4 linked regions of the Diceros bicornis minor genome follow. The protein of the gene in region 3 purifies or fractionates together with the protein of the main gene of each other region. This does not show direct contact. Links are inferred from orthologs where the notes say so. Each region holds a gene or a part of one and is shown on either strand. Other genes may lie near its edges. The genes, in order: XAF1, RAC1, XIAP and SIVA1.

Region 1 (6,880 bases), on a different chromosome or scaffold from region 3:
CCGCTCTAATTAACCCAGACACGCATCCTTCACATCCATTCAGGTTGGCCAGTGTTTGCCCACCAACGCACAGCATAGCGCTTCACTGCCTACTAAGCACAAGGCATGTGGGTCCCTCTGGCAGAAAGAGCCTGGTGAAAGAGGTGATGAATCTCAAATTGTCTACACCCATAGTTGAGTGGGGGCAAGTTGGGGCAACAAACAGACAAGCAACTGACCATAACCAGAGACAGAGGAGGGAGGTCCTCTACCAGTGACCGCATTGGAGTTGGACTTGAAGAACTGGTGGGATTTTGATATGTAAGGGAAGGGATGGTGCAGGGGTGGACAGTCTGGAAAGAGAAAACATCTTGGAAGAAAATTAGGGCAGAGATGAAAAAACTCATAGTCCTTTCCAATTCCACCCCCATGGCCCTGTCCCTGATTCCTGCGCTCTGGGACGCCCCACCTGTGCACCGCTCTTTTACATTTCTACCACCCCCCTCCATTCTGGGGGATCCCAGCAGGAGACGAGGTGTGAAAGCTCAGTTTTTTTCGTTATTGTGGATATTCACAAGACTGCCTGCCCCGAGATAGACAGGAGTGCGAGGCAAAGGTCCAAGAGATTAAGGAATTTGCCCAGCTGATGAGGAAGGGAGTCAGGATGCTAACCGGGGTCTCCCCCACCACCAGCTGTCTAACAAGGTGGACCGTGTCTTGCTTAGACACGTAGATCCCTGAGTCAGATCAACCTGTTTTGAATCCCAGCTCTGGCACTCGCTGTGTGACCTTGAGCAAAGTCCTTAAACTCTCTGTGCCTCCGTTTCTATAGGTGCAAAATGGGGCTAATAATAATTCTTGTGCCAGAGCTGTTGGGCAGATTAAAAAAAAAAAATTAATGGAGGCTGGCCTGGTGGTGTAGTGATTCACATGCTCTGCTTCGGCAGTCCGGGGATCGAGGATTCAGATCCTGGGCACAGACCTATGCACCGCTCATCAAGCCACGGTGTGGCAGGTGTCCCATATATACAACAGAGGAAGAAGGTCATGGCTGTTAGCTCAGGGCCCATCTTCCTCAATAAAAAGAGGAAGATTGGCAACAGATGTTAGCTCAGGGCCGATCTTCCTCACACACACGCACACAAAAATTAATGCCTGTAAAATGCTTAGCATAATGCCTGGGACATGGAAAATGCTTAAGCCTTCATTGGCTATTACCTCTTATCCCTCTGATCATTATGATTACTGCCCACTGTTCCTCATTTGGTGCCTGAATTTTACAGTCTGGCAGGAGGCTGGAGCCCGTCTGGCCTAGTCCTTAATCCCATTATCCTCCTCCGAGGGGCCCCCATCCCATCTGCAGACTTCACAAGAATTCTCTCCTCCTGCCTGTGTCATCGCTCCTCACTCATCATTCAGAGCCTTTCTGTTAGCACAGCTGCTTCTGGGGTCTGGGAATGCTCTGAGGACCCCGGGGGGGATCACACTAGAGTAGGTCTATCCAGTGGGCGGATGGGGGGGTATGTAAGCAGCCTCCACATCCTGTTCCCACATCCCTGAAGCACCCCATCCAGCAGGCCACCACCCCTTCTCTTCCGGTGGCCTCCCCTGGGCCTGCTTGGATGAAAAGCTTGTCTGCACCTTGGCTTATGTGGGCTTTCTTGTGAGCTCACCCACAGGGGACATGAGAGCTTGGCATTCACCGCATCCTAGACCCTCCCAGCCTCACTCCTGGGGCCGAGTCCCCTCCATCCCTGACGGGTTCATCGAGGGACAGGGTAGTGATGGGAAGGAAGCTCAGGGCCTCCGGAGATTTCCACCAAATGATCCCGGCTCTCCCCTCGGCAGCAACCCAGCCCATCTTTCCTCCATGAGCACCAAGTGTCTGTCCCCACGCTGCACATCTCTACTTCTGGAATTTTCAATGACGCTCATCTGCCCCCATCCCTTTAGTCTTCAGATGGAAAGCCAAGGGCCAAAGGCTTAAATCACAGCGCTGGCCCTGCAACTTGGAACCAGCCTTTTCCTCCTACACCAGTGGCTCCTGGCTTCTCTGCACGTTAGAATCACCTAGGACCTTTCAAAACCCCACAGTCCCACCTGGACCAGTGAAGTCACACTCTCTGGGGTTGGGCAGGCATCAGTGGATTTCTGTAAGTTCCCTAAGCGATTCCAATGTGTGGACAAGTTTGGAAGCCACTGTCCTCCACCCCAGCACCAAGAGCCCCGACAAATGGCCAGGCCCCAATCTAGGTGCTTTGCGTGTTACTCATCTTTGCTTCATGATTCCTTTTTGCTTTCTGACATTCTGAACATCAGGAGGGACTTCTTCATGTATTAGTGAAAAGCTGCTAGGTATTTATCAGCTGTTGTAAAGTTGTGTATATGGTGTGCTCACTAAAGTTGAAATAAATTAAAATGCTTAGATACATGTGCAAGACTACAATCAAAATTCTCCAACTACACACTAATATCTTAACTGTGTTTATAAACAATAAAGGTGATTATTGAAGCTAATTAAAGATAGGCTTGATTTTTTACAAATAAAATTCTGGGAAACAGAAATACATATTAAATCCTCTTAAAGAATTTCAATATGAAGTATATAATATCCAAATGTTTCTAATGCAGTTGCAATTATCTGCATATTTTTAAATTCTCATTGAGCTATGTGATACACTGTTTCATCATTTTTATTTATCTAACGAATTGCACCCTGCTTCTCCCTGTGAAAAGAACACAGGTAGACAAACAAATCTCCTCTGTTCACTTGATTCAATTATGCACATATAATTTTGGACATGTGTTGCCTTTAACAGAACTTGATTTCTTTGAATCTCAAAACTTTGGGTCAATTTGTCCAGTCATTTATAACTGTCCGGGTCATGGACTCCTTTTGAGTGTCTGCTAAAAACATTGGCTCTTTCTTGGGAAAAGGCACATACATGAAAGCAATTGTGCACACAATTTCTGGGAGCATACAGACTCCTAAAGTCCCCCAGTTCCCCAGTTGAGTCCAAAAAATGAAGAAACAGAAGCCCAAAAGGCTGAGGTCACTCAAGCTGCCAGTTAATCAGGATTCGAACTCTGAGCTCCCAACCCTATGGCCATTGAGGAGAGACAGGCCGGGGGCCACTTTGCCTGGGTTCAAAGCCTGATTCTCCTGCCTCCTGGCTATGTGACGTGTGCAAGTCACATCGCCCCTCACTGCCTCGGTTTCTTTATCTGCAGATGGGGATGATGAAAATAGAAGCTTCCTCACTTGTCTGTCACCCCGTCAGCCTTACAGCCATGTTTGCTGTAATTATTTACAAGTGAGGGAAGAGAAGCTCAGGGAGCTAGGCTGTTGCCCTAGGTCACCAAGCTACTGTGTGATGTGGCCTGAAAGCCTGCAGTCTTGGCACACACCACTCTGCATCCCCAATTCCTTCTGGACCCTGTTTTCAAAGTCGTCACCACCTAGGACCAGAGGAGGAGACAGGAAGTCCAGGAGCTGCTCTCAGGAAGCAGCCTTCCAATTCAACACAGCAAGCCATGTCTCTCCAGCCGAGGAAGGACCAGCAAGAGGAACAGGAGAGGGGAGTTCTGTGGAAGTGTTCTGTGGAAGGGGATAGAGATACTCAGAGGCAGTGAAGCCAGCCTGGGTGAGAGGAGGGGCTGCTGCCCAGGGGAGGCCTGGCCTCTGGCTCCCTTCCTCGAGGTCGTAGAAATGGTCAGTGACAGCAGCACGGGGTGACAGCACAGGCAGGCGGAGGCAGTGGGGGCAGGCTAGGCTGGCCAAGCTACAGACGGGCTTCCTGGGAGTGTCCAGCTGCAAGAACCTTGGAGCAGCCCTGGGCTGGGAATTCTGAAAAACCCCTCCCTCCCCAGAGCTGTGGGCCGGGTTGTGGGAACACTTTCAGTTTTGTTTTCTAGTCTGCGAGAAACAGAAACTCAACAGGAAGACTGCGGAGACCAGAAATGGAGGGGGCCTTCCAGGCATGCAGGAACTGGTAAGAAGTGGCTTTCCCTAGCTGTGGGCCTGAGGCTGGCTGGTGAGAGGGGCAGCAGGACAAGGCGGCTTCTGAAGTGAGGAGAAAGGGTCCGGACATTGCTATGGGTGGGACGGGGTGGGCACTGTGCCCCAGGTAAGAAGGTTTAGACTCAGTGGATCTCTGAGATGATGAGATGGCAAGAGGTGGGCAGCATTACCTTAATATCACTGAACCCCGCCCCCTCCCCGAGATATTTTAGACTTTCTGGGACAGTCCTAATTCAAATAGCCAGGCTAATTGTCCCTGCTGGGCTACTCAGGCTTGTCAGATCTTGGGTCCTAATTTGTGGTTCTGATCACCAAGTCTTCACACCGGTCTTTGACAGAAAGGGGCCCACGGAGGTTCTCCAGGACCGTTCCCAACCTCTCCTTGAGAGGGAGCTGTGGGGCGGGGTGGGGTGAGGGGGACAGAGGATCCTTCCCAGAGAGCTTTGCTCCAGACAGACCCTCCTGGCTCCCTGGTGTGTGGACCAGCTCAGGAAGAAGAGCAGAGGGGACGGGGCAGGGAGAGCAGAGAGAGAAAGGGGCCAGGCCAGGCAGGGGGCAAGAACAGAGGAGGAACGGGAAAGTGGAGAAGGCTTGGTCCATCTGGGCAGCGCAGAAGCCATGAGCTTGTTCAGATCAAGAGGAGTGAGGCTCTGGCTGCTCCCCTCTGGCCACATCCCCTGTGCCAGGGCCTTGGGGGTGCAACTCTCATCCTCACTGGGGCTTTAGGGCTGCAGCCTCTGAGTTTCCTTTCTCCCAAGCTGCCACAAGCAAGAGCTGATGGAAATGAAAGGAGGCATTTTGCAGTGAGGAGGAGGGTTAAGAAACCACCTGCCCGGGACCCGGGAGGCTCAGAAGCTTCTGTTCTTTGGGGTCTTCAAGAAGGGCCTCGGGATCTCTCTGAGTTGCACGGGTCAGCCTGGAGGCAGGGCATCAGTGGAGGCCTCAGCTCTCGGAGCCGTGGGAAGCTCTCGCTGTGGAGATCCTGAAAGCCGGTGTTGCCCTTGCAGGGGGCGTGGGCGTGGCGGGGCTGGGTTCCCAAGCAGCCGTGTACCACGCGGGGGAGCACTTGAAAACAAGACAAAATACTGGAAGGAATTTGATATTTGTTCTTTCGCTTTTCAAACAGCTTTACCAGGGTACGATGGACATAAACTGCATTTATGGTTCATTTTTGAAGTGTACTATGTGGCGCATTTGGCACGTGTATATCCCCATGAAGCCATCACCACAGTCAAGATAGTGAGCCTGCCCACCACCCCTAGGTCTCCTCAGGCCCCTGGTAATCTCTCCTCCTGCTCCCTCTCACCCAGCCCCACTCGATCCGGGCAATGTGAGAGCTTTGTGGAGCGTCCTTACACTTATTTTATGATTTTGTGTTGTTCTGAATGGGGAGCAACATGGGGAGGGGGCATCATCATCATGTTTTCAATGCTTGAGGCCTCGAAGGATCTTAACCCAGCAGCCCGGGTATGAAATATGACTCCATGTTTTATGCCAAGAAGTCAGCTTGTTTTCCTTCCCCCTTTGCTCCTGCAGCAAAAGAAGCATGGCCCCTGCCCACTTGGCCCTCCACGAGGCCCACTGCCTTCTGTTCCTGGTCCTCTGCCCGGAGTGCAAGGGACCCGTCCCCCTGGCAAAGAAGGAAGAGCATTGTGAGAACGGGCACCAGCAGGTGAGGAGGCAGAGGTGGAGCGCGGGGAGGCCAGCCAGAGTCTAGTCCTCGCTGCAGTAACTTGCTTGGCTGGTAGGGGCTAACCATTTAGCCCCTGCACGCCCCAGCCCCCGTCTGTGACGTGGAGATGGTGACTCTGCCTTTCTCACACTGAACTGAGTCTACCCCGCTTTTCCCATTCCCAATCCTTTCCCTACAGGCTGATGGGTTCGGCCAAGACAAGGGGTCCCTGTTTCAGAAAAGGTTGAATGTTCTTTTGAGATTTGTGAAGAGGGGAAGCAGGAAAGGAAAGTTCTAGAAGGCAGTCATGGCCAAGGCCAGTCAAAGGCTGACTTTTCTTTCCTGCTCTTTCATGTCAGTCCCTCCTGGGGTCCCTTTTCTGTCTTTCTGATTCTCAAGCTCAGGCATCCATTTCAACTCTGTGGGTCCCACAAACACTTCTTGCACACGGGCCCGGTGCTGCAGAGAGCCTGAGGAGCCACACCTGATCCCCACCCCCGAGGAGCTCACAGACCCGGACCTAAAACACATGAACTGAGGCAGATGTGGGGAGAGGCAGCAAGAGCTGGGTGGGAGCTGCATTTCTCTCTGTGTTTAGGTCTGGTGTGCGATGTGTCAGCAGAGCGTGCAGAAGCACTTGCTGGAGTTTCATGAGGTGAGAGTCCAGAGTGATTTCTCCTTAACCGCCAAGCAGCCAACCTGGGAGGAGAGGAAGGGCGAGGAGGGGCCAATAATCAAGATTTCCACTTGACCTCTCTCTTCTCACCCAAGTCGGCGCGGGGAAAAATGGAGAACTAGCCCGCCACAGGAACACAGGTCCTGCTGTCCCCTAGATGCTGGTCAGAAGGGCTTGCCCCGGTCCATGAGCCCAAGAGAGCTGTATTCCCAGAGGAGAGTGCCCCCTCTAGCACTTCCCATCGGCTTTCTCTTATTGGCCTCAGTTCCTAGGGAAATAAGCAAATATCCCTATCCTGACCAACAGGGCTGCAGTCACTGCAAGCCAGTGACCATGCCCGTCCTGCCTGCCTCCCCGCAGGCCACGGAATGCCCAGACCGCCCTGTTGAGTGTAAGTTCTGTAAGCTGGCCGTGCGCCTCAGCAAGGTGGAGATCCACGAGCACCACTGCGGCAACCGGACAGAGCTCTGCCTACACTGCGGCCAGCCCATCATGCTCCGAGAGCTGGCCCAGCACACGGACGTGTGTCGGG
Region 2 (7,403 bases), on a different chromosome or scaffold from region 3:
GTGTACATTCCTATAAAGATGACATCATGGAAGGCATTTATCATGCTCAACCAAAAAAATTCCTGGAGAGCAACGTGTAAATTAGACATAGGGCTAGAGAGACCACTAGCCCAATCTGGAGTGAAATCAGGGAGCCTTCTAGTCAACCAAAATAACACTATTAATAATGATTGTTTATATGTGAGATGCTGTTTTACCTAAGTTAAACTGAAAGAAAAATCTTGGGGCAGAGGTTTCCCAAACAAAAGCGACAGTCCGTGTGTTCAGGAAGGACTAACAGAATTAGAATCAACAGAGAGATTAACAGAACAAAAAAGTATCAAATTTTATCTCATATTTCATACTCAATGCCAAATGATTTGCTATATAGCAAATAATGCATTAGAAGAATATAGGCTGAATGATCGTAGTTATAATATGGTTATGACATAGCTTTTAACCATAATTCTAAGAATATTTTTGAAATAAGGAAGCTTGCAATTTGTAGAACCTCAGTTTGCCTTCACTGCTTCAAGTGCCCTTAATTGCCTGAAAATCCACAACATTGACTTCTCCACCCCACAAAATTTAGACCCACACTTACAGCATTAACAATTTTTGAATAAAGAACATTCCAACTATGTCACCAGGAATATATCTTATTCGAGGGAAAGCAGAAAAATATTTTTGGCATGGAAAATTATGTATCTAGATTTTTCACTGAAGTATTGTTTGCTACATACCATCCCTTAAATAAAGTAATACAGCTTAAATTTTTTTTTGTAAAGGTACATTTCACTTCTAATATGGCTTAGCCCTAGTCAACGTCAGTGTCAAATATAGTATCAAAAAACTGACTGAATAGGCCAGGAACTGTGTTTCATGCCTAACACTCCCTTCACAGAGCCTAGCAGTGCCTCAGAGTAACAGAAACAGAAATAATGATACTGGCAGCTGGCACTTACTCAGCAGGGGCCAGGCACCTGTGAGGCACTTAACATCTAGCATCTTGTTTAATCCTCACAATGTCCCCTAGGGGCACCTCTCCTGGGGGCGATGAGCTATACCCTCAGGTTTTCCCCATAAGTGGTGAGGTGGGGATTTAAAGGAAGGATCCAGATCCCATAGTAGGCATTCAACAAGTATTTGACCAAACAAGCCAATACAAACAGTAGAGGTCCATAATCTGTAAGTACTATTAAATACACTAAATATATCCGTTGTGCTTATGTGTTAGTTATTTTAAAGTAAGAATATTACATACTGTGTGTGGTTAGATATTGAATTATCAGCAATTTGATTTTTTAAAAAACTAGTATTACTTCATATTCTAAGCATTATTGATTAAGCATTTTTAATTTTTAAAGGAAATTCAGATAATTTAAAATGTTCCTAAGACAAAGTGACGTGTTTAGCTAATTCATTATGCAAAAGGATCAAAAGTTCATTTAAACGACTTCACTGTTAAACCAGCTAATTAGACATTTTCCCCCACATCAAAGTAAAGCTGCCTTTTAAAAGGTTAAAAAAAAACCAAGTACCACACATATTCCTAAGTAGGTGAAACTAACAATTTTTAGTTATTTACATAGAACCATGAAGGGTTAATAATCCCTCACATTTGTCAGTCTGACAAATCCGACAGACCAGCATCTTTAATAAATAAGTTGTCTAACTGTCCTTCCTGCATCTGAATTAGTTAGAGAAACAATTTCAAACGTCTAACTTACAATGACCGAAAAAAGCTGAGAATTCACAAATTCACTGAGAGGCATAAAAGCACCATCAGTCCTAATGACAAGTTTGGGGACTATTAATCAAAAGGAACAGTGATGCCAGAACTCTTCCTTCGACTTTACAAGACTCAAAAAATGGACCAATTGCATTCTGAGTTTGATGAAACTGGTAGTAATTCCTGGAGCTTCCTTGTTAACGCCCAACTACTCGAGCAACGCTGAGACACACAATTTTGCTCGGATTACACTGAGATTCTTGTTTCTATGGGAGAAAAAAAGTGCATAAGACAAGTCTTGTCTTCCTCGAGGGCCTGTAACCACCACGGACAGGCATGAAAAGAAATGTCTTGAGTCACAGGGCAGCTCGGCTCCGGGAGCCTGTTCTGCTACATCCCATACCTAACCCATGAATCGAAAGGCAATTTCTTTCTTTTTTTTTCCTCAATGACCACACCACGTTCAGAGAACGTTCTCAATCACACCCAGCTTCTCGCAGTGAGAATCTTAGAAGTTTCTCCAGGGAAATAGCAAAAATGATCATTTAAAAAATCCTAAAAGTGGCGAAGCAGTACAAGTGGAAGACACCCCCCAGTAACTCAGTGAAGGGTCACCCAACCAGCCCGTGCAAATATTCGTCAAATATCACCGACCCGACCGGCGCCACCCTCGGACGCTCTCAGTGGGGCTCGAGAGGTTCATACAAAAACCAAGGAAGGGTCCTGATCCGTAACAAGGCGACGCTGCAAGCCCACTTAATCCACAGGCCGACGCGGGAGGGCGGCGGGGCGGCGCTGGGGGAGCTCGGCCTGGCCGGCGGTCAGCGGCGCGGGGAGCAGGCGGGAGGGTGGAGTTCACTTTTCCCTCCGGCCGCGACCGGTGGTGCCCTCCCCCACCGAAAAAAAAAAACCAGCGGGAACCAGGCCCGCGCCGCCCGAGCCCGGGGAGGGGTGGCGGCCTGCGCCCCCCGCCCCGCAGAGGCCCAGGCCCCACGCGAGCCCGTGGCGCGCGCCCGCCCGCCCGGCCCGACCCCCGGTCCTCCGGCCCCCGGCCCGGCCCCGCACTCACCCGTCTCCCACCACCACACACTTGATGGCCTGCATCTGGGCCGCTCGCTGGGCCGCGGCGGCGGCGGCCGGGCGCTGAGGCGAGAAGCGGCGGGCTCGGGGCGCGGCGGGCGGACGGGCGCGCGGCTGCGGGCGGCGGGGCGCGGGGTGCCGGGGCCGCGGTCCACGCCGCCTCGCCCTCCGCCGACGGGAAGCCGAAGCCCAGCAGCGGCCACCACCCAAAGCTGGGGAAAACTGCAGAGAAACAGGAAATGGCTGCTCCACTCACATCCGGCCTCCCCTCCCCCGCGCCGGCGCCGCCGCTCCCAGGCTCCGGGGCGGGGCCGCTCCCGCCCGCGCGGCTCCCGGGGTTCCTCTCGGCTTCGGGGACGCTCGGGAGCGCTCGGCTCCAGCCGCTGGGCGCGCCTCGGAGGGCGGCGGGGCGGGCCGGCCGCCATCTTTGCGCTCTGACAGACGCGGGCCCAGCCCGCCCCGGCCGGGCCTGGCGTCGGCCTTGGCAGGATCTCTGGGTTCCAGACACCCCGCTCCCCGCGTCCCCGACCAACTCCAGCCCGAGGCCATGCAAAGGGCGTTCACCTATATTTTTTATGTGAGAACCATAACTTATGTGATGACGAGGTCCTTCTAGAAAATTCGGAACCTAAAGCTATAAAAAAGAGAAGACCATACGCCATAGCATTATTCAGAGATAAGAGATGTTCATTCAGGAAAATTAATTGTCTTTACTGCGTTGAGCGTTTACATGTCCTGTTGCTTTGCGCCGAGTTCTGGAGATAATGTTTGTTCGCAGACCATTGAAATGCCGATATTTTGGTATATTTCCTCTCAGTTATTTCTTTATGTGCATAACAAACATGTTTTAAACAAAAGTAAGAAATCATGCTGAATCGTTACAACGTTTTTAATGGCTGCTTACTATTCGTTGCATTATGCACATGTACCTTAATTTAACCAATTCCTCTATTATTGGACAGTTGAATTGTCCCTATTTGAGAAGCAATGCTGGGATGAACAAGTTTATGCAAGAATCTTTATAGCTCTATTTCTTTAGACTACGTTTCCTACTGGGTTAATAGGCGTGAATGTTTCTAAAGCTTTTTATACGTGTTGCTGCATTGTCCTCCTGCAAGGTAATAACCAGTGCTCACTCCCATCAACTCTGTTAGCGAGTGGACCCTCCAGGGGAGTTGATTTCCCATGATGTTTTCATCTTGTAGGCCTTCTCTTCCTATAACGCGCTCTGTTGCTCAGTATTGTAACAATTTTCTGAAATCAGACCTTTTCCACACAAGTTTTTTTTTAAAAACATTTTTGTCTTGCAATTATTTCAAAATAAACATGTTCCCAGGGCAAAGGACACCTCCTTTTTGCTTTGTTCATAACGATCTCCCATAAAGAAGAGTTGAAATTTCAAGGATAGGAGAACAACAGTGTCCCCTTTGCTGATAGAAATTTCCAGTGACTCTATGACAAGCCTAAACTACTAAGTGTAGTTACTTTCATGTTTTTAGACCAGGAGCAAATAAAAGGGTGAGGCCTTGGGTCAATAATTTAATCCAACTGAACAAACATTTGAGTGCTGCTGTGGCGTAAGGGACTCATAGGAAATGAACGAGATGGGGACACAGTTGCCAGGATATCAGGCCCACTGTGCTCAGTGCTCTAAGTGGGGTACAAATATGGTGTTTACTAGAAGGCAAAAAACTATATTCATGATAATAAAAAAGCTTTCATCAAAGAGATTAGTTGAAAGATGGGTCTGGGTAGGATTTTTGGTGGGTCTTGATGGAGTAAGAAGAAAAGAGTTTTCCACAGAGAGAAGAAAGTCCTGGAAATTAGGGACTCAGGACCATCCTCAGGTGGGACGCAGAGGGAGCAAGCATTTGCCCTGCTCCAGGTCTAGAATCCAGACAGGTAATTGCAGGCTGGATTACAGACTGCCTTGAATGTGGACTTATTCTGATATGACATGAGTTTTTGAGCAAACACATGACACAACCATATTCAGATCATTATTTCTCTAGATTGATAAAATGAAAGTTCACCATACAAGAGGTTTGACTGTGACTATAAAATAACACAATTAATGTACAACCCACATATGAAAATCAGCTTTAATTTAAAACTGAGTTAACTTAAAGCTTCTCGAAAGTTGGCCTTGAGTGTCTATTTGTAATGTGCCCCATGGCAACACATGGTCCAAAAAAGTTAAGTTCAAATTAAAAAAGCAAATATTGAACTATGTGTGTTTCTGAATGTGCTACACAGTTATTTATCAAGTGCCTGCTATGTATGCAATCATATACCCTACTTAGGTCCTTCATTCAAGGTCGATCATTTATTTGGGTCCAAGTGTTGGAAATGTGAAAGGAACAAAACAGATCCCTGCCATCAGAGAACATACGTTCTAGTGGGGGAGATGCATAATAGGCAAATGAACATTTGATATTCATTCCCGGGTTAACATGATGGATTGGATGCAAGTATTTGATTTCACTTCTACCCAAAACCCCGCTAAAACTTCAGAAAAGGAATTTAAAAGACATAATCCTAGAACAGAAAGAACAGGGAAGGAGACAACAGAGGTTGGACACTGGAATGTGTGGACAGACTGGTTGTAACTGATGTAGCCACCTAGACTGGCAGTGGGAAAGCTGATCAGCACCAGATCTACCCCCAGAGAATCATCGGAGGGCTGGGAACTGGCAGCACCTGGCACCCATGGAAGGGGGGTGGAAAGGAGAGGAGGATAAGAAAGATGGGGTGAAAGCTGAGAAGCAGCAGCAGCAGGCAGTCTACATCACCTCCTGTCATGCCCCAGACGAGGTGGCCGCCTTCTCCTTCCCCTACAAAAGACTGGAGCTTCCTCTCTAGAGGGGGTAAACTAGTGGGTATTTGGATGCCTGGAAACCAAAGCAAAAATGAAGGGATTTAGTAGCCCTATGCTGAATCTTGACCCTCCCCAACCCTTTCCCTCATGGCTCCTGCTGACAGTGTCCCTGAGAATAGAAGGGTGGAGGGTCAGGGGCCTCTTCTCTAGGGAACCTGTCCAGCCCAGGAGGAAAGACCAAACACATGTCAACATGGGGAGGGGGCTCCAGGAAGCCTCCCACTCCTTCTGAGCTGCCCATTAACTCTTAGTTTCTCACCCTTGATCAGACAACCAAGGATTAAAAGATATATGAGGAAAAACTCCAGAATGGAAGCTAGAAATCAAAATAATCCAAATAGGGCCGGCCCCGTGGCTTAGTGGTTAAGTGCGTGCGCTCCGCTGCTGGCGGCCGGGGTTTGATCCCGGGCACGCACTGACGCACTGCTTCTCTGGCCATGCTGAGGCCGCGTCCCACATACAGCAACTAGAAGGATGTGCAGCTATGACCTACAACTATCTGCTGGGGCTTTGGGGGAAAAAATAAAGAAAGAAAATTAAAAAAAATAATAATAATAATCCAAATAAATAAATTTGGGGAAAACAAAAACAGGGCAAGGAGAAGGAAACCTAAAAAAAAAAAAGCTATCATTGTCTTCAGATAAGAGACTATAATTCATTCGTGAATAAGAAGGGAGTGCTGTTAAAAAAGGAACATCCAGATGATTAAAAAAAACAAAAACAAAAGCAAGCTAGCAAAAATGAAAAACTCAACAGAAAGATTGGAACATAGAAGGCCAGCCTGGTGGCATAGTGGTTAAGTTCCCACACTCCACTTCCGCGGCCCAGTGTTCACAGGTTCGAATCCTGGGCGCGGTCCGATGCATCATCAAGCCATGCTGTGGCAGCATCCCACATACAAAATAGAGGAAGGTGGGCACAGATGTTAGCTCAGAGCCAATCTTCCTCAGCAAAAAGAGGAAGACTGGCAACAGATGTTAGCTCAGGGCCAATCTCCCTCACCAAAAAAAAAAGAAAGGTTGGAACGCTGAGTTGAGGAAATCTCTCGGAAAACCTAAAAGACGTGGAGAGATAGAAAATAGGAAATGGTGAGAACACTAGAGAAGCCGCCCAGGAGGTCCAACCATCCCCATCATATCCTATAATAGAAAAGAAAGAACAAAGAAAAAGCAAAGGAGGAAAACATCCACAAAAACATTAAGGAAATTTCCCAGACCTGAAGGACAGGAGTTTACTGATGGAAAGTGCCAGCCCAGTGACTGAAAATAGACCCAACCAGAGTACATCATTGTGCAACTTCAGAACAATGGGGACAGATAATAGCCTACAAGCTTTCAAAGAGAAAACACAAGTCATAGGGAAACAGGAAATAGAATGGCTTCAAGTTTCCCAGCAGTTACACTGGTGGAGCCATGCCTTCAAGATTCCAAAGGAAAATAATTTTCAACCAAGAATTCTACTCATAGCCAAACTATTGATCAAGTGGGCGGGTAAAATAGGAACATTTTCAGACAAGTAAGTTCTCCAAAATTTTACCTCCCACACACCATATCCCAGGAAGCTACTGGAACAAGTGTTCTTCCAGTAGGAGGAAATAAACCAAAAGAAGCTATGAGAAGCAGAAACGGGAGATCTAGCACAGCAGAGATCTAACACCCTCCCCGCCAGGGATGGTGACTGTTGTATGACCAGCCCACTTTGGAGCAGGGAAACTTTGTGGCCATAAACCACACA
Region 3 (7,021 bases):
TATGACCTCTAAGATACAAAAATAATATTTGTTCAATTCAATATCAACTTCTTATTTACCATTACTGTTTTTGTCTCCTCAAATCTACTCAAACAATGACCTTAAACAGTGCTACAGATTACATTTTATAATACTATTACCAGATTAGACCACAGAGATAAAGCTTGAGAACAGATAGCTCACGATAATCTCCCAGCCTCAAAAGAACAAGGGCATCTATTTTGCCATATTCATCTTTGGAACCTTACCACATAGTACAATGCCTGGCATATAGTAGGTGCTCAATAAATGTTTTTTAAAAATACTAAATAATAGCCTTTTTTTCCTGTTAGCACTAGCTACCAGACTGAAATATGAGACCAAACAAAAACAGTGAAATATCATTATTTCATATTTGGGGTCTCCAAGCATTTATAAAATAAACAAAGGATTTACTAAATAAATTAACGTTTACAACCAAATGTGAAGGGAACATTTACATTACTAAAATATTTCAAGCACTATACAAATTAACTAGTACATTAATTACAGTAATTCTTATCTACTGAAATGGGCCTGACTAACCTTTAGTCAGCATTACTTTGTCCACCTAGTTGGAGTCATCAAATGCACAAGAAAGCAATAAAATTACAGGTGTACAAGGAGCAAATTACAGTACAAGGGGCACTGGACTAGCACCTTGACCCTAGTCCAAGCTCTGCTAATAATCAGATATATAATCTTGGACAATTCATTTTTTTTTTCTTTGAGTCCTAATTAACTTAATAAAAACAAAAGAGCTGAACTACTAATCACCAGGGATCTTTCCAGCCTTAATTTTTTAAAATGATTCTTATCCACAAAGATTCTACATTCAGTTTTTATTGTGTCCAATTTGATATGCTGAATGTTACAGTTTGCTACATTGTTCGATAATCAAAAGCTTAGCACATTTTCTAAAAATATGTAAAGACTAGTAACATATTATTTTTACCATCTTCCATTAGGACCAATAGGAGAAAACCAAAGAAGAAACGTGAGCAGCCAATACTCAGGCCTGCTTTGCCAGCTGGGCTGACATGAACCACACTGAATTTCACAACACAAACCACTACTCATTCATAAATACATATATGTATATAAATACATAGACACATACCATTGACATATACTTATTTACATTGATATACATATGCGTGTGAACTTTACAACTTGTTTTTAATTATAAAACCAATACTTTATGGTAAGAAATTCAAACAGTACATTAGGCCACATGTGAAGTGCAAAGTAAAAAGTCTCCTACCTCTCTCTCTAGCCCCTATAAGTAACCACTGTTAACAGTTTTCTCATGTATCCTTCGAGAAATTATCTGAGCATATACAAGTACTGTATACATGTGTGCATGTGGATAAATCTTTTTAACCTGAACTGTTGCCACTTCTTGAATGATAGGGAAAAATATCTCAGGCACTGGCTTCATAAGCATGTTAAATATATTGAGAGTAGTAGCGCAGTTGTATGGCACAAAGTGGCATAGGCTTCAGAAATGTGCGTTGAGCTGAATACATTTAATTTTCTTGCTTGGAGGCTATGTAGACCAGTTTCGCAGAGAGTGGTGAGAAAGGAGCCAGACACCCGGGTTCTAATCTAAATAGTCGAGTAGCTTTAGGCCAGCCATGAAATCTTCCTGTGCCTTAGTTTCTGCTTTTGTAAAATAAGAGAGTTGGACTAACATCCCCTCCAACTCTAAAATGTTGTAATTCTAAGATGGCCGTCTGTAATAATAGTGCTCTCTTGAACTGATTGTAACAAATGTTAAGTAAAAAAAAAAAAGAGAAGAAACACACACTATAGCAACCTCCAGTCTTAACAAGAGTAAATTTCTATGCGTCATTAACTATCAAGGCATAGTTGTGACAGAACTAGTGACACAATTATATTTGAAAGCAAAGTAGTAGATTATTAAAATCTGATAGGTTTTTACAAAGCTTTGATTGATGTTTTTCTTTTTTTGGAGGGGGAGAAGACTGTTGCTTAGTTTCTGCAATAACTACTTCCCCTCCTTCGAAAAGAATACAATTAAGTGCATTATGGAGTTCAAATAATGAAACTGAAAGTTAGATTGAATTTTGTTTTACTCACAGAATATGCTGGGGAGATGACTAGGGCAGCAAAGCTTGCAAAGAATTAGATACTAGCTAGTTTCCTCTTCCGGAAGCTCTCTGGCTCCTATTCTTTCGGCTTCACACGCCCTCGCCAGACACACTCCACCCAGCCCCGTACGGGCCACAGGCATCAGATGGGGAGTGGGGAGGGGGCGGCCCCTTTGATCACTAAAAAAAAGTTCTTTGACTCGGTTTACCTTAGGGGTCACGGGTTTAGGGAGGCACCCGGCCGGCCTGAAGCCACCCACTCACGCCTGCCTTCAGCAGTCCCCGGAACCCGGGCAAGGTGCCCCGGTCGGGCCAGCCCCGCCGGGCAGGGGCAGCCTCCTCGCCCTCCCTCGCACCGCGGGGCCCGAGGGGAGGGAGGAGGAAGGGGGGCGGAGGAAGCCCGCACGGGCAGTACCCACTGCGCCCGGAGAGCCGGTCCGGATCGCCCGCGGCGCCCTTCGCGGTCGCGAGGGGAGGGTCCTGGAGGAGGGGCGGCCCAAGTCCCAATCTGGAAACGCCAACTCCCGTCGGCGGCCGGGCCCCAGCCTAGAGGGAAACGGAAGTCGCGTCGTCCCCCTCACTCGCACCCAACAGCCGGCCACTCCCCGGAGGAGCCCCGAGGCAGGGCGCTCGAAGCGCGGTCGCGGCAGGGCCTCGAAGAGCCCCCGCGCGCCGTCCGTCCGTCTCCCGGCCCCGGCCGCGCGACTGGGCCCCCGCCGTTTCATTCCCACTGCGCCCGCCAGGAGGCCAGCCTCCCGCCCTGCAAAGCCCCTCCCTCCCCCTCCGCCATTTTCCAGCTTACCCTCCGGGCCCGCGCGTCCCTCGATGAGCGCGAAGCCCGCCCAGGGCGCCGCCGAGGTCCTGCCACTTCCCCGGGCCGGAGGGGGGGGGCAGCCAGGACAAACCAAGCTCCCCACGGCCGCCCGACCCCCCAGCTGGCAACCAGAACCTGACGGAGCGGGCGCGCAGGCGCAGTGGGCACCTCGCAGTCCCCGCCTCCAGCTCACGCGTTTCCTCCTTCAGCCTCGAGGCGTTTTTTCCCACGGTTTCTACCTGCTGGGCCCTGGGGTTGATGAGTAGGGGCATGCTAGAGGTAAAAGGATGAAAAGAAAAAGAGAGCGAACATATTGAATTCTTGCTATGGACCAGGCGCTGTGGTAGGCATATAACGTGTTATTTGTTGTAATTTTGACAACTCTGTGAGGTAGGCATTCTCTTATTAAACCCATTTTACAGTGGAAACTGAAGCCCAGAGAGGATACCTACCCCAATAGCGCCCAGCTAGTAAACGGGGAACTGAGATGACAATATGATCCACTTCCAAGGAGAGAAGGATGAAAGGAAAAAGAAAGGAAGACACTCAGTAGGGGCAAAAGCGGATTGGGAGATGAAGGGAAAATGAATAAGGAAGAAGGAAAGCAGAAAGAAAGGAAACAAAGGAAATCTGTGTACATACAATGCTGATCACATCCTGGATTTATTTCAAATATGCTGTAGGATTGTCAGATGAATTTTGTTTTAGAAACTTGGGCTCCCTTACAGGCTAGTGTAGTGAGATGAGAGTTTCTGAATGAGAATGTCTCATTTCAAGGGGAGAATCGTAAGTATCACCTGCATCCTCAAATGATGCTGCCCTTCATGAAAAGGGAACTTGGAAGGAGAGGAAAGACTTCGTTTTGGTTCTTAGACTTTCACTAAGATATTATCCCCTCTGATCCTCTCCTATTGTCACAGCTCTGGGAATCTCACATATGACTTATTGCAATAATAATAACTGCAAATATTTACCTCATTTAATTCTCACAGCAATCTTATAAAATATGTAACTATCATTATCCCCATTTTACAGATGAAGACACTGAGGTTTAGAGAGTTTAGGTGGCTTGCCCGAAGTCACAGCCCTAGTATGTGTGGGAGCTGGAACAGTGATTCAAATCTAGATCTGTCAGATTACAGGTGGATCTGACCATTACCCAGTCTCCTAACTGGCCTCTCTATCCCTAGACCGGTCCCCGGCAGTCCAACCTTCAGAGGTCCATCTGAGTTAACCCTTCAACACTGCCTCCAGAATAATGTTAAAACTTCTTGACTTCTTGTTCACTCTCCCCTTGGGCCCCCTACCTATCTTCTAACAAAGTGGAACTACTCACTGTGCCCTGCCCATCCCCAGCTTTCCTGCCTTCCACTAATTTGTTCAAACTGCTCACTCTGTGAGGTGAAGCAACTGCCCCTTTTCAAAGCTTTCCCTTAGCCAAAGGTCATCTCTTCTTCCTCCTCTGAACTCTCTTCACACTTGAATTTTTCTTTCGGTTTTGTTCACATCTTTTAAAAATTGTGGTTAAATGTATATAACAAAATTTGCTGTTTTAACCATTTTTAAGTGTACAGTTCAGTGGCATTATGTACATTCACCATCCATCTCCAAAACTTTTCCATCTTATTTGGCACTTGAATTTGTGCCTGTGTTACGGAGCACAGTATTTTCTGCCATGTAGTATAGCTACTTGTGTATATGCCTTATCTCGTCTATGTTGTAAGTTCATTTATAGCAAGATCTATGTCTAACTCATTTTTGTAATTCCTCCAAAACGCTTGGAGTCATCTTTAATTCCCCTCTCTCCTTTCCCACATCCAATCCATCAGCAAATCCTGTCATCTCAATTTTCAGAATACATTCAGAATATCACCAATTCTCATCAACACCACTATGGCCCTAGTCCATCTCTCTCGGACATAAAAGCTTCCTCACTGGTCTCCCAGCTTACATCCTTGCCCCTCTCCAGTCTATTCGCACAGCAGCCAGAGTTATCCTAATAAGTCAGATCATTGTCATTTATCTGCTCAAATCCCTTCAATGGCTCCCCATTTCACTCAAAGTGAAAGCAACAGATTTATAAGGGCCCACAAAGGCTGTTGTAGCCAGCCATCAAGATGATCTCCAGTGATCGTTACCTCTTGCTCTTCGTGTCCTTGGATAGTTCTCTTCTACAATGAACCAGGGCTGACCTGTGTAACCAGTAGAATACAGTGGAAGTGATGGCATGTGACTTAAAAGGCTAGGTCATAAAAGGCATTGTGGTTTCTGCCTTGCTCTCTCTTGGATTGGCTGCTCTGGGGTCAGCCAGCTGTCAAGTCATGAGGATACTCAAACAGCATGTAGAGAGGCCCACACAGGGAAAAACTAAGTCCTCCCCTTCTCCATATCTCCTCCTATACCACCCACTGCCAACACCAACTTGTCAACCATGTGAGTGAGCCACCTTGGAAGAGGATTCTTCAGGCCCGGATTTCAGATAACTGTAACCTCTTAAGATCCAGAGCCAGAACCACCCAGCCAAGCCACTCTTGAATTCCTGTGTATTGTTGTTTTAAATAGCTAAATTTTAGGGGAATTTGTTACCCAGCAATAGATAACTAATAAAAAAGCCCTACACAATCAGGATCCTTCTTACCTTGATGTCCTCATCTGCTAATACTCTTTCTCCTTGTTCCTTTAGCTTTCCTGCCTCAGGGCCTTTGCACTTGCTGTTCACTCTGCCTGGAACACTTCTCCCAGATATCTCCATGGCTTGTCCTTCACCTCCTTCAACGTCTTTGCTTAATTGTCACCTTCTCAATAAGGCCTAACATCACCACCACATTCAAAATTACAACTTCTCCTAGCACTCCCAATCTTCCTTCCCTGCTCTCCTTTTTCCTTTTTGCATGGCCTGTATTACTTTCTAACATACTATATGGTTCTCTTATTTATTACGTTTATTTATTGTATATCCCCTCCCTCCCACACCTGCTAGAATATACGCTCCAAGAGGACAGGGATCTTTATTTCGTTCATTGATCTATTCCAAGTGCATAGAACAGTGGGCACAGTGTAGGTACTCAGAAGATATTTGTTGAGTGAGTGAATAAAAATTTCATAAACATGTCAGACCCTTGGTAAATACTTGTTGGATGAATTGTTGGTTGGAGGTGTGAACAGCAAAGACAGATATATCTGGGGTATGGTGTCTAGGTTTTATATACAGGGACACATAGAGGTGTGAAGTCAGAAAAACACAATCCCTGGAGAGGTTACTCTTATCTGTACAATGATGTTTTGTTGTAATTGTTTTTGGTTGAGGCTAAAGGCCGTGAGATGTAGACAGAGAAGAATTTCAAGGGTGGTCACCACACCTCAATGGCAGCTGGAGTGTATGAAAAGTAAAATGTGTAGTTATCTGCTGAGGGAAACAGCAAAGGTTTAGCACTAGAACACTTTTTGCAAAAGCAGTTATAAGTGAAAGCCCAAATAAATAAAATAGATAAAAGGCAGAATTGTTTCGAGTGAAGGAAGGAGAGGTGAGCACTGACTCCCACACCTTGCCCTCCGAGCATTCAGTTTTATGTACCTTCTTCTGGTGGGAAGGGGTACACATCTGCACAGGATTACTCTTAATTCATTATCAGAGAACAGCCTTTGTGAAGATCACTCATCTTGAACAGCATCTATCGGCTGCACCTGCCCCTCAGTCTCCTGACTTCTGCTCCGATATCTTGATCCCTAAACTCCACTCCCGCCTTGCTGCCACAAAGACTGCGACTGTCACTTCCCCTCTTTGAGCAGTCATAAAGATGCCTGCCCTTATCTTGTGCCTGAAAAACGCAAGGGGCTCAGCCAGCCCTCCCTTTCCCTTCTCTGCCTTTATCTTCCAGGGACCCAATCATACAGAAGAGACTTGTTCTTGTTTGGAGTGGGGACAGAAGAGCACACTCTCCTCTCAAGCTAATCGAAAATCCCATCTGGACTTTCTATATACTAATTTATTCCTATGGTTATACACAATCGAGTCAGTCTGCAAAACTCCCATAATCCAACAACAATGTCAAGGTCGAGGTGTTGTCATGGTGTG
Region 4 (7,353 bases), on a different chromosome or scaffold from region 3:
GGGAGCAGCTCCTCCCCCGACTGCCTGCACCAGAACCCTCAGGGCCTCCACCCTGTGTGTCTAGCATCTGTGCCTCAAACCGTGGCTCCTGCGCCACCAGTTAACAAAGAGGTTCCTGGGCCCCACCCAGACCCGGGGCTGGGCCGGAGACTGTGGTTTTTAACCAGCGGCATGGGTGACAGTCTGAGACACACACAACACTGCACAGGGACCTAATCGGGAGGGTTCCACCTGGACGGGACTGTGTGGGGGAGCTGCAGGTGGAGAGCAGGTGGGACCCCCAGGTGGGTTTGTGCTCCTTTTCTGATCTCGCAGTTAGAAGCTGTTTCACAATGCCCAGACTTGGATGGCGGCAGAGGCTCCTGATGTCAGGAGACTTCCGGTGTTCACCCAGCTCCTGAGACTCTGGGCCCAGCTCCTGCCTGCCCGGGAAGGTAAAGTTCCTGGGCAGACAGTGTCACAAATGCAGAGAACTGCACTTGCCACATCCATCCTGGGCACATAGCTGTGAAGTGCCGGCTGTCAGCCTCACTCACCAGCTTCAGAGGCCTGGGCTCGGCTTCTGGTCAGTCGGCCGTCCGCTCCGATTAGCATCTGCCCACGTGCAGCCCGAGAGGCCTCCGTGGGGCTGGGCTTTGGGGACTCCGGCAGGTCAACAATGGCACAGCCTTCCTCCCACACGTGGTCCATGTAGGCCTGGGCCCCTCGAAAAAGGAGTTGCTTGGTCTTCTCTGGGGAAGACAAATCATTCCTTCCATTTACACCTTTGCAGCATGGAAGCCCTCGCATAGCCAGTCTGTCCTGCAAGCTGGGCATGGTGAGGCCTCCTTCGTGCTCTGTCATCACGTCACCCTGGCCTATGCTGCTCCCTGGTGAGCTGAGCCCCACTCTGCCCTCCCACCTCTCCTTTCCTAGGCTCAGCTGCCACCTCCTGCAGGAAAGTTCTGGACCCTACAGCTGCAGCCGGGCTCCCTCTTCTGTCACTCTGCTCATTATCCACAAAGCTCTCTGGATGAGCGGCCTCACCTCACTGCTGTTCCTCTCCTCCCCAGCACCCTGCAAGCCGGCTATGTATGGCACAGAGGGAGCTCTGCGCTGTGAGGCACTAATTCACAGCTGGAGGCTCAGAGCTGTGCCTGCGACCCCCAGGCAGTGTGCACCCTCTTCCCCTCCCGCAGAGCTGCTGGCAAAAGATGAGGCAGCACCCAGCTCCTGACAAAGGTATCCCAAAAATTTCCAGACCTCTCTGGGCCGTGGACACTCTCCCACCCCTGGAGGTGAAGTGGCTGCTCAGCACCCAGAGCAGTGGTTTTTCATTGGACTACATGTCAGTCACCCAGGGGCTTTCACAGGACCAAATGCCTGGTGCCAGCCCCAGAAATGCTTTGTTTGTGTTCTTCTGCCTTGTCCCAACAGAGCCCGGGTGCAGATCCCAGAAGCTACTGGCTCTATGTGAAATCGACAGGAAAACAGTTATCAGGTAACTCAAACAGAGTGGCTGATGATGACCCTGCCACACCCAGCTCCTCCCACAGGAAGGAATTATAATGGGATGGGAATGGGGGCAGTCACGTGATGACTGCTAATGCTTGTCTTCAAGGGCTTCTAGTCCATTCAAGGTAAGGAGGCCAGGGTTTGGGCTTGGAATTCGTTACACATGAGTTCAAACTGGGTGTCCTGCTCTGATTACTGAACGACCAGGGGGCCCAGCACTCTCCCTGACAGGGCCCTGTGAGTGACAAGCCCCTGTAAACGCCCCAGGATGATGTGGTCAAGGGAGAGGGTGAAGAGCTAGACTGAGTCCCGTTCGTTTTTAACTCTTCTTTCTGCCTGCTCAGTGTTTACACATTTTGAACATGCTGATGGGGGCGCACACAGTCCCCACAGCTTCACTCTTCTTTATCTGATGGGGGGAGCAGCAGGAGAAAGAGAACTGGGGCCTCCTGAGGCTGGGTTCTTCCCCACATGCCCAAAGCACAGCAGCACCACTCCATTACAAACAGCCAGGTCATTTCCTAACTCGGCCATGGGGGTGAACCTTGTGCCCCCAACCACTAGGTAAGTAAACTCCACTTTGTAGCTGCCTCAGGGTATTAGTCACCCCAAACTGATAATCAATAATATCGATGCACCTAAAAATCTGCGTCAGAAAGCCAGATGAGAAGCCCTCCGATAGCTCACTACACTCACACATCACCTTGAATGGGACATTCCAGCCACACCGAGTCCTACTGCGCTCTCCTGCTTCCTTGCTTTTGCATACTCTGTTCCCTCTCCCTGGAGTTCCCCTTCTCTCCCTCTCTGCCTGCCTTAACTCCTACTCACTCTGCAGGGTTCTGCTTAGTCTCTGTTCCTCCAGGAGACCTCTGACACCCCTGCAGGGGGGTCTGCCCTGATGACCTCTGGAGATTCCTTCTCCTGCTGGTCCCCCAGTGGACCGGGGAGCTCCCGCCAGGCAAGGTCTCCGCGCGCTACAGTGCCTGGCAGGGAGGGCGCGCTCCACAAACACCTCTGAGGTTGGAATGGGTACTTCTGCCGGCTTACTCCACCCAGGACGTCCCGCTCCCCGACCTCTCTCTGGGCTTGAGGAATCCTAGTGCTAACGAGACCAGGGCTGGTCACTGGTCGAGCACCTCCCGCAGGACAGAGCCCCCAGGCAGTACGTTTAGGGGGCCAGTGGGCGCCAGGGGCAGGGACACTTCCTGTGGCCAGCGCGGGTGGACGTGGACGCATTCAGGCCCCACTCACTGCTCCCAAGCCCCGGCCGGACGGCTGGTCCCGCAGCCTCCAGGCTCCCGGGGCCGCGGCCTGCGGAGACCGCCCGCCCAGGGCCCGCGTCGCCCGAGGGCGCCCAACCCCGCACTCACCGAAGATCTCCCGTGAGTACCGCTCGGCGCACACGCCGCGGCTCAGCTCCCTCTGGCCCACGCGGACCTTGAGCTGCAGCGGGGCCGCGTCCGCGAAGGGGCAGCCCCGCTTGGGCATGGCCGCGGCCCGGAGCGGCGCAGCCCGCCAGCCGCGCCTCGCCGCGACCCGTGACGTCACAGCCTCGCGCCAAGTCCCGCGCGGGACGGGGGCGGGGCTCGCGTGCGGCGCGGTGCGGGATAGGCCGGGAGCGAGGGTGTGGGCGGGGCTTGTGCGAGGCGCAGCGCAGGATAGGCCGGGGGCGAGGACGGGGGCGGGGCTCGTGCGCCGGGGACGCGACTCGGCGGCGCGGGAACCGCCACGGGCTAGGTCGAGTGTCGGAGTGGGCAGGTCGGGGGCGGGGCGAGTTGGCGGCGCGGGAGAGGCCGAGGACGGGGGCGGGACTCGCGCGCGGCGCGGTGCAGGATAGGCCATGGGCGAGGGCGGGGGCGGGGCTCATGCGCCGGAGGGCGGGGCTCGGCGGCGCGGGAAAGGCCGAGGGCGACATCGAGTAGAGAGTCGGCGTGATGGCGCAGGAGGGCGTGGGGTGTCCCACCTTTTTTTTTTAGTCCATAAACAACTGTCGAAACTGGTTATATTTCCTCGTTTAAATCACCAAAATTCTAGGATGATTCACTTTTTCCTAATTTTTAATTTGGAGGAATTCCCAGCCCTCCCGGAAGTGGAGGGTGACGTATGAACGCCCCGGGGTCACGTCATCGGCCGCGCTCCTGGCCCCGCCGCGTCATGCGGAGCACGCCCGTCACGTCCGGACCCCGCGACGCGGGCGCCGGGCGTGTTCTGACGGAGCTACGCGTCGCCCCTGCGCAGGCGCTCTCTGCCCAGCTTGCCTCCGTGGCCTGGCGGTGCGCTTTCCAGCGGGTTCGTGCCGTCGCGTCCCACCCCCGGCTCCCGCCTGCCAGGCGGACGCGGCCTTGTCGTTCAGCCTGCCCCTCTGTGCCCTGCACTTCTTGAGACGAAGGCCGGATGCCTTGCTCTTGCACACCACGTCACACGCGACACCGCGTCACATGCGACGTCCGCGTCTTACAAGATATTGCGTCACACGACGTCCACGTCACACGCGACGCCGCCTCACACGCGACGTCCACGCCGCACGCGACGCCGCGCCACCCGTGTCACGCACGACGCGGCGTCACTCACGATGCCGCGTCCCACCGGCAAAGTGCTCGGCGGCGACAGGCGCGGGCAGGGCCGGCCTGTGCTCCGCGCCCCGCCGCCTCCCTCCCGGGGGGCGCCCCTCCTCCTGGGGGGCCAGGCCGCTGGGGGCTCCTCGGGGGCTCGTCGCCGCGTCGCCGGCATCATCGTGCTTGCCCTGTTTCAGGGAGACGACTTGAGGGTGCGCGGTTCTAGAGCCCCGTGTGCGGAGACGCACACTTGGTTTGTCCTAGCCCGGAAATCGATGAATGCCCGGGAGTCTTGCTTTTAGTTTTAGGGGATTTTTTAAGATTTGTGTTCGGATTTGAAACTGCCTTAGGATCTTTTAAGACACAGCAAATAGATGCAAAACGTGGTGATTAAAAGAGAATCTTGTCATCTCTTACATCCCAATCTAATTTCAGTTTAAGAAGTATGTGTCGGGGGCCCACACTCAGTGCTGTATTAGTTTGCTAGGGCAGCCGTAACCAAGTGCCCAGATGGGGCAGCTTAAACGCTTACTCTCTCCCCATCCTGGAGGCTGGAGATCTGAGGTCAGGGTGTCTCAGGGCTGGTTCCTCCCAAGGCCTCTCTCCTGGGCGTGCAGACACCAGTCTTCTCCCTGTGTCCTCACGCGGTCGTCCCTCTGTGCGTGGCTGTGTCCTGATCTCTTCTTATAGGGACACCAGTACTACTGGATTAGAGCCCACCTGTATGAGCTCTTTAAAACTTAATTACTTCCCAGTTCCTCAAAAAATTGAAAATAGAACTACCATGTGATCCAGCAATCCCACCTCTGGTATATGAAGGCAATAGACAGGATCTCCAAGCGATATCTGCACCCCACCTTCAGTGTGGCACTATTCACAATAGCCAAGACAGGTGTTACGAAAGGTTCGGGGATTCGATCGGAGACGTAAAAGACACTTTCCACTCCAAACAAATGGACCGAAGGTATATTTTATTATATAGAGGATAGTAAAGGCGACAGTCTGCAAACAGATCCAAATAGGTCAAATATTAAGAGGGAAAAAACATCAGCCTGACTGGAAAGGGAAAACACCCACATCGGCTGAAGAGAAATGACACAAATCAACCGGAAAGAGAAACACCAGGTTGACCGAAAAGAGAACACATCAAATCAATTACTTCATATCAAATCAATTACTTCACACCAAATCAGTTACTCACAACATCCACGCCCCACTGCCGGGAGAGCCCTGTCAATCGACGCGGCTGGGCAAGGATCACACGTCCTGGGCAAGGTGTCCCTTCCACAGGTGGAACTCTCACTAGGTCTCAGTTTCCAGCAGTTTTTATACCATCAGTAATTTTCAGAGTAAGCAATTACAGAGTTTGCAGAGCAAGCATTTAGTGTTTCCATGCACAAAATAGTTATCAGTGGCGTACGTGCACTGAGCCCCCTGGCTAACGTCCCAGCCCACTAGTTGTGTACATGCATTGTTCTCTTTGGTTATCGTCTCAGCCCGGCACAGATGACCAGTCCATTCCGAGCTACGACGCTCCAAGAGCCTTGAAATGTTACAACTTGCAACTCTCTCCGTGGGAGAAAGGCCAGTTTCCGGGAAAAGGCCAGTTCCCACCACACAGAAAGCACTTTGTATTTCTTTGTGTGCTGGTGGCTATAGGTCAATGGAGCGGCCAAACATGGCTGTACTCATGTCAAGACAACAGGGAACAACCTAAGTGTCTGCCAACAGACGAATGGGTAAAGAAAATGTGGTGTATGTGAAGGGTACCTGAGGGCTACTGTAAATACTCCATAAGAACATGGTTACCCTTTACCCTTATTCCCAACACAGCCACAGACGAAAAGAAGTTAGTACCCACGAAAAACCTAGATAAAGAACCTCAATCCCCATTATACGTATTTGTTGAGCCCAAATGCTTGCTTCACAGATCACACATCATTATAGCTTGTCAATTTGCTGTTTTCTTGTTTAACCAGAGGGGTGACTTAGTGGTCACAAGGATTATGAGCTTGTTTGGTAGAAGAAAAAGAACGCCTTTAAGGAAGTTATGACCACCAGGTGACCCGACCCCCGCTGCCACTGGCACCAAGAAGTCTAGTTGTTCAAGGTCTTATCTGAAGTGAAAGAAACACGGACTTCCCCTTTGTTTTCCTGAAACTCCACCTCCCAAGCCCCTTAGCCCTATAAAGTCCCCCTGCTTCCTTGTTTTGTTAAGGTGGATCTGAGAGAACCTATTCTCCTTCCTTGTTTTGGCCAACTTGAATAAACCTTCCTCTACCTCCAAGCACCAGTGTCTCAGTGATTGGCTTACTGCACATCAGGCACACGGACCTGAGATTAAGAGTTTGGTGTGATATATATACTGTGAAAATTAATATAGGTAAACCTCATTTAAAATGGAGTCAGGGGACAGCCCCATGGTGTAGTGGGTAAGTTAGGTGTGCTCCGCTTTGGTGGCCCAGGTTCACAGGTTTGGATCCCAGGCATGGACCTACACCACTACTTAGCCATGCTGTGGCAGTGACCCACATACAAAATAGAGGAAGATTGGCACAGATGTTAGCTCAGGGAATCTTCCTCACCAAAAACAGAAAAGAAAAGAAATGCTAAAAATAAATAAATAAATAAATAAAACGGAGTCAGGAGGCCAGAAGGGGGATCTCCCATGCGGTACCACTCTTGGTCAATTACAGGAAAGGAGAATAGTCATTACAGACCCTAACACAAGTCCTCAATACAAAAGAATCATCAATTATAGGAAGAAATGTATATTGCATCCCAAATAGAAATCGATGACCCCAGCAGCTCAGCCAATGAGCAACCGTCACCACCCTGAACTCTTGCTTTTCTCAGATGGACTTTCCTTCAAAGCAACCCCTCCCAATTTCCTCCTTTTTCCCTATAAAATAACATTCTTCTCCTTTGGTTGTTGGATTTGTCTATGCTCTGCCATAGCATGCATATCCCAAACTGCAATTCTTTTGCTATTCCTGAATAAACTCATTTCGCTGGTAAAATAACTGGCTGTTTTTTTTTTTTTTTTAAGGAAGATCAGCCCTGAGCTAACATCCATGCTAATCCTCCTCTTTTTGCTGAGGAAGACCGGCTCTGAGCTAACATCTATTGCCAATCCTCCTCCTTTTTTTCCCTAAAGCCCCAGTAGATAGTTGTATGTCATAGTTGCACATCCTTCTAGTTGACGTATGTGGGACGCCGCCTCAGCATGGCTGAACAAGCGGTGCATTGGTGCACGCCCAGGATCCGAACCCGGGCCACCAGTATCGGAGCGTGCGCACTT

What was found.
Region 1: the proteins of XIAP (region 3) and XAF1 purify together in Homo sapiens (affinity purification with western blotting; 5 studies listed by BioGRID). This does not show direct contact. The link is inferred for Diceros bicornis minor from reciprocal best matches to the Homo sapiens genes XIAP and XAF1.
Region 2: the proteins of XIAP (region 3) and RAC1 purify together in Homo sapiens (affinity purification with western blotting; 3 studies listed by BioGRID and IntAct, with this or other methods). This does not show direct contact. The link is inferred for Diceros bicornis minor from reciprocal best matches to the Homo sapiens genes XIAP and RAC1.
Region 4: the proteins of XIAP (region 3) and SIVA1 purify together in Homo sapiens (affinity purification with western blotting; 3 studies listed by BioGRID). This does not show direct contact. The link is inferred for Diceros bicornis minor from reciprocal best matches to the Homo sapiens genes XIAP and SIVA1.

The regions. Positions count from the first base shown.
Region 1 is NC_080757.1:13,158,863-13,165,742, forward strand, and holds the start of XAF1 (XIAP-associated factor 1), read left to right. Parts: upstream 1-3,870; 5' UTR 3,871-3,939; coding exon 3,940-3,971; intron 3,972-5,536; coding exon 5,537-5,672; intron 5,673-6,270; coding exon 6,271-6,327; intron 6,328-6,708; coding exon 6,709-6,880. UniProt on the Homo sapiens protein: Seems to function as a negative regulator of members of the IAP (inhibitor of apoptosis protein) family. Inhibits anti-caspase activity of BIRC4. Induces cleavage and inactivation of BIRC4 independent of caspase activation.
Region 2 is NC_080765.1:8,894,344-8,901,746, reverse strand, and holds the start of RAC1 (ras-related C3 botulinum toxin substrate 1), read right to left. Parts: upstream 3,002-7,403; 5' UTR 2,816-3,001; coding exon 2,781-2,815; intron 1-2,780. UniProt on the Homo sapiens protein: Plasma membrane-associated small GTPase which cycles between active GTP-bound and inactive GDP-bound states.
Region 3 is NC_080781.1:113,718,163-113,725,183, reverse strand, and holds the start of XIAP (E3 ubiquitin-protein ligase XIAP), read right to left. Parts: upstream 3,024-7,021; 5' UTR 2,935-3,023; intron 2,679-2,934; exon of another isoform or gene 2,548-2,678; intron 2,313-2,547; exon of another isoform or gene 2,122-2,312; intron 1-2,121.
Region 4 is NC_080763.1:49,286,985-49,294,337, reverse strand, and holds the start of SIVA1 (apoptosis regulatory protein Siva), read right to left. Parts: upstream 3,024-7,353; 5' UTR 2,986-3,023; coding exon 2,868-2,985; intron 732-2,867; coding exon 537-731; intron 1-536. UniProt on the Homo sapiens protein: Induces CD27-mediated apoptosis. Inhibits BCL2L1 isoform Bcl-x(L) anti-apoptotic activity. Inhibits activation of NF-kappa-B and promotes T-cell receptor-mediated apoptosis.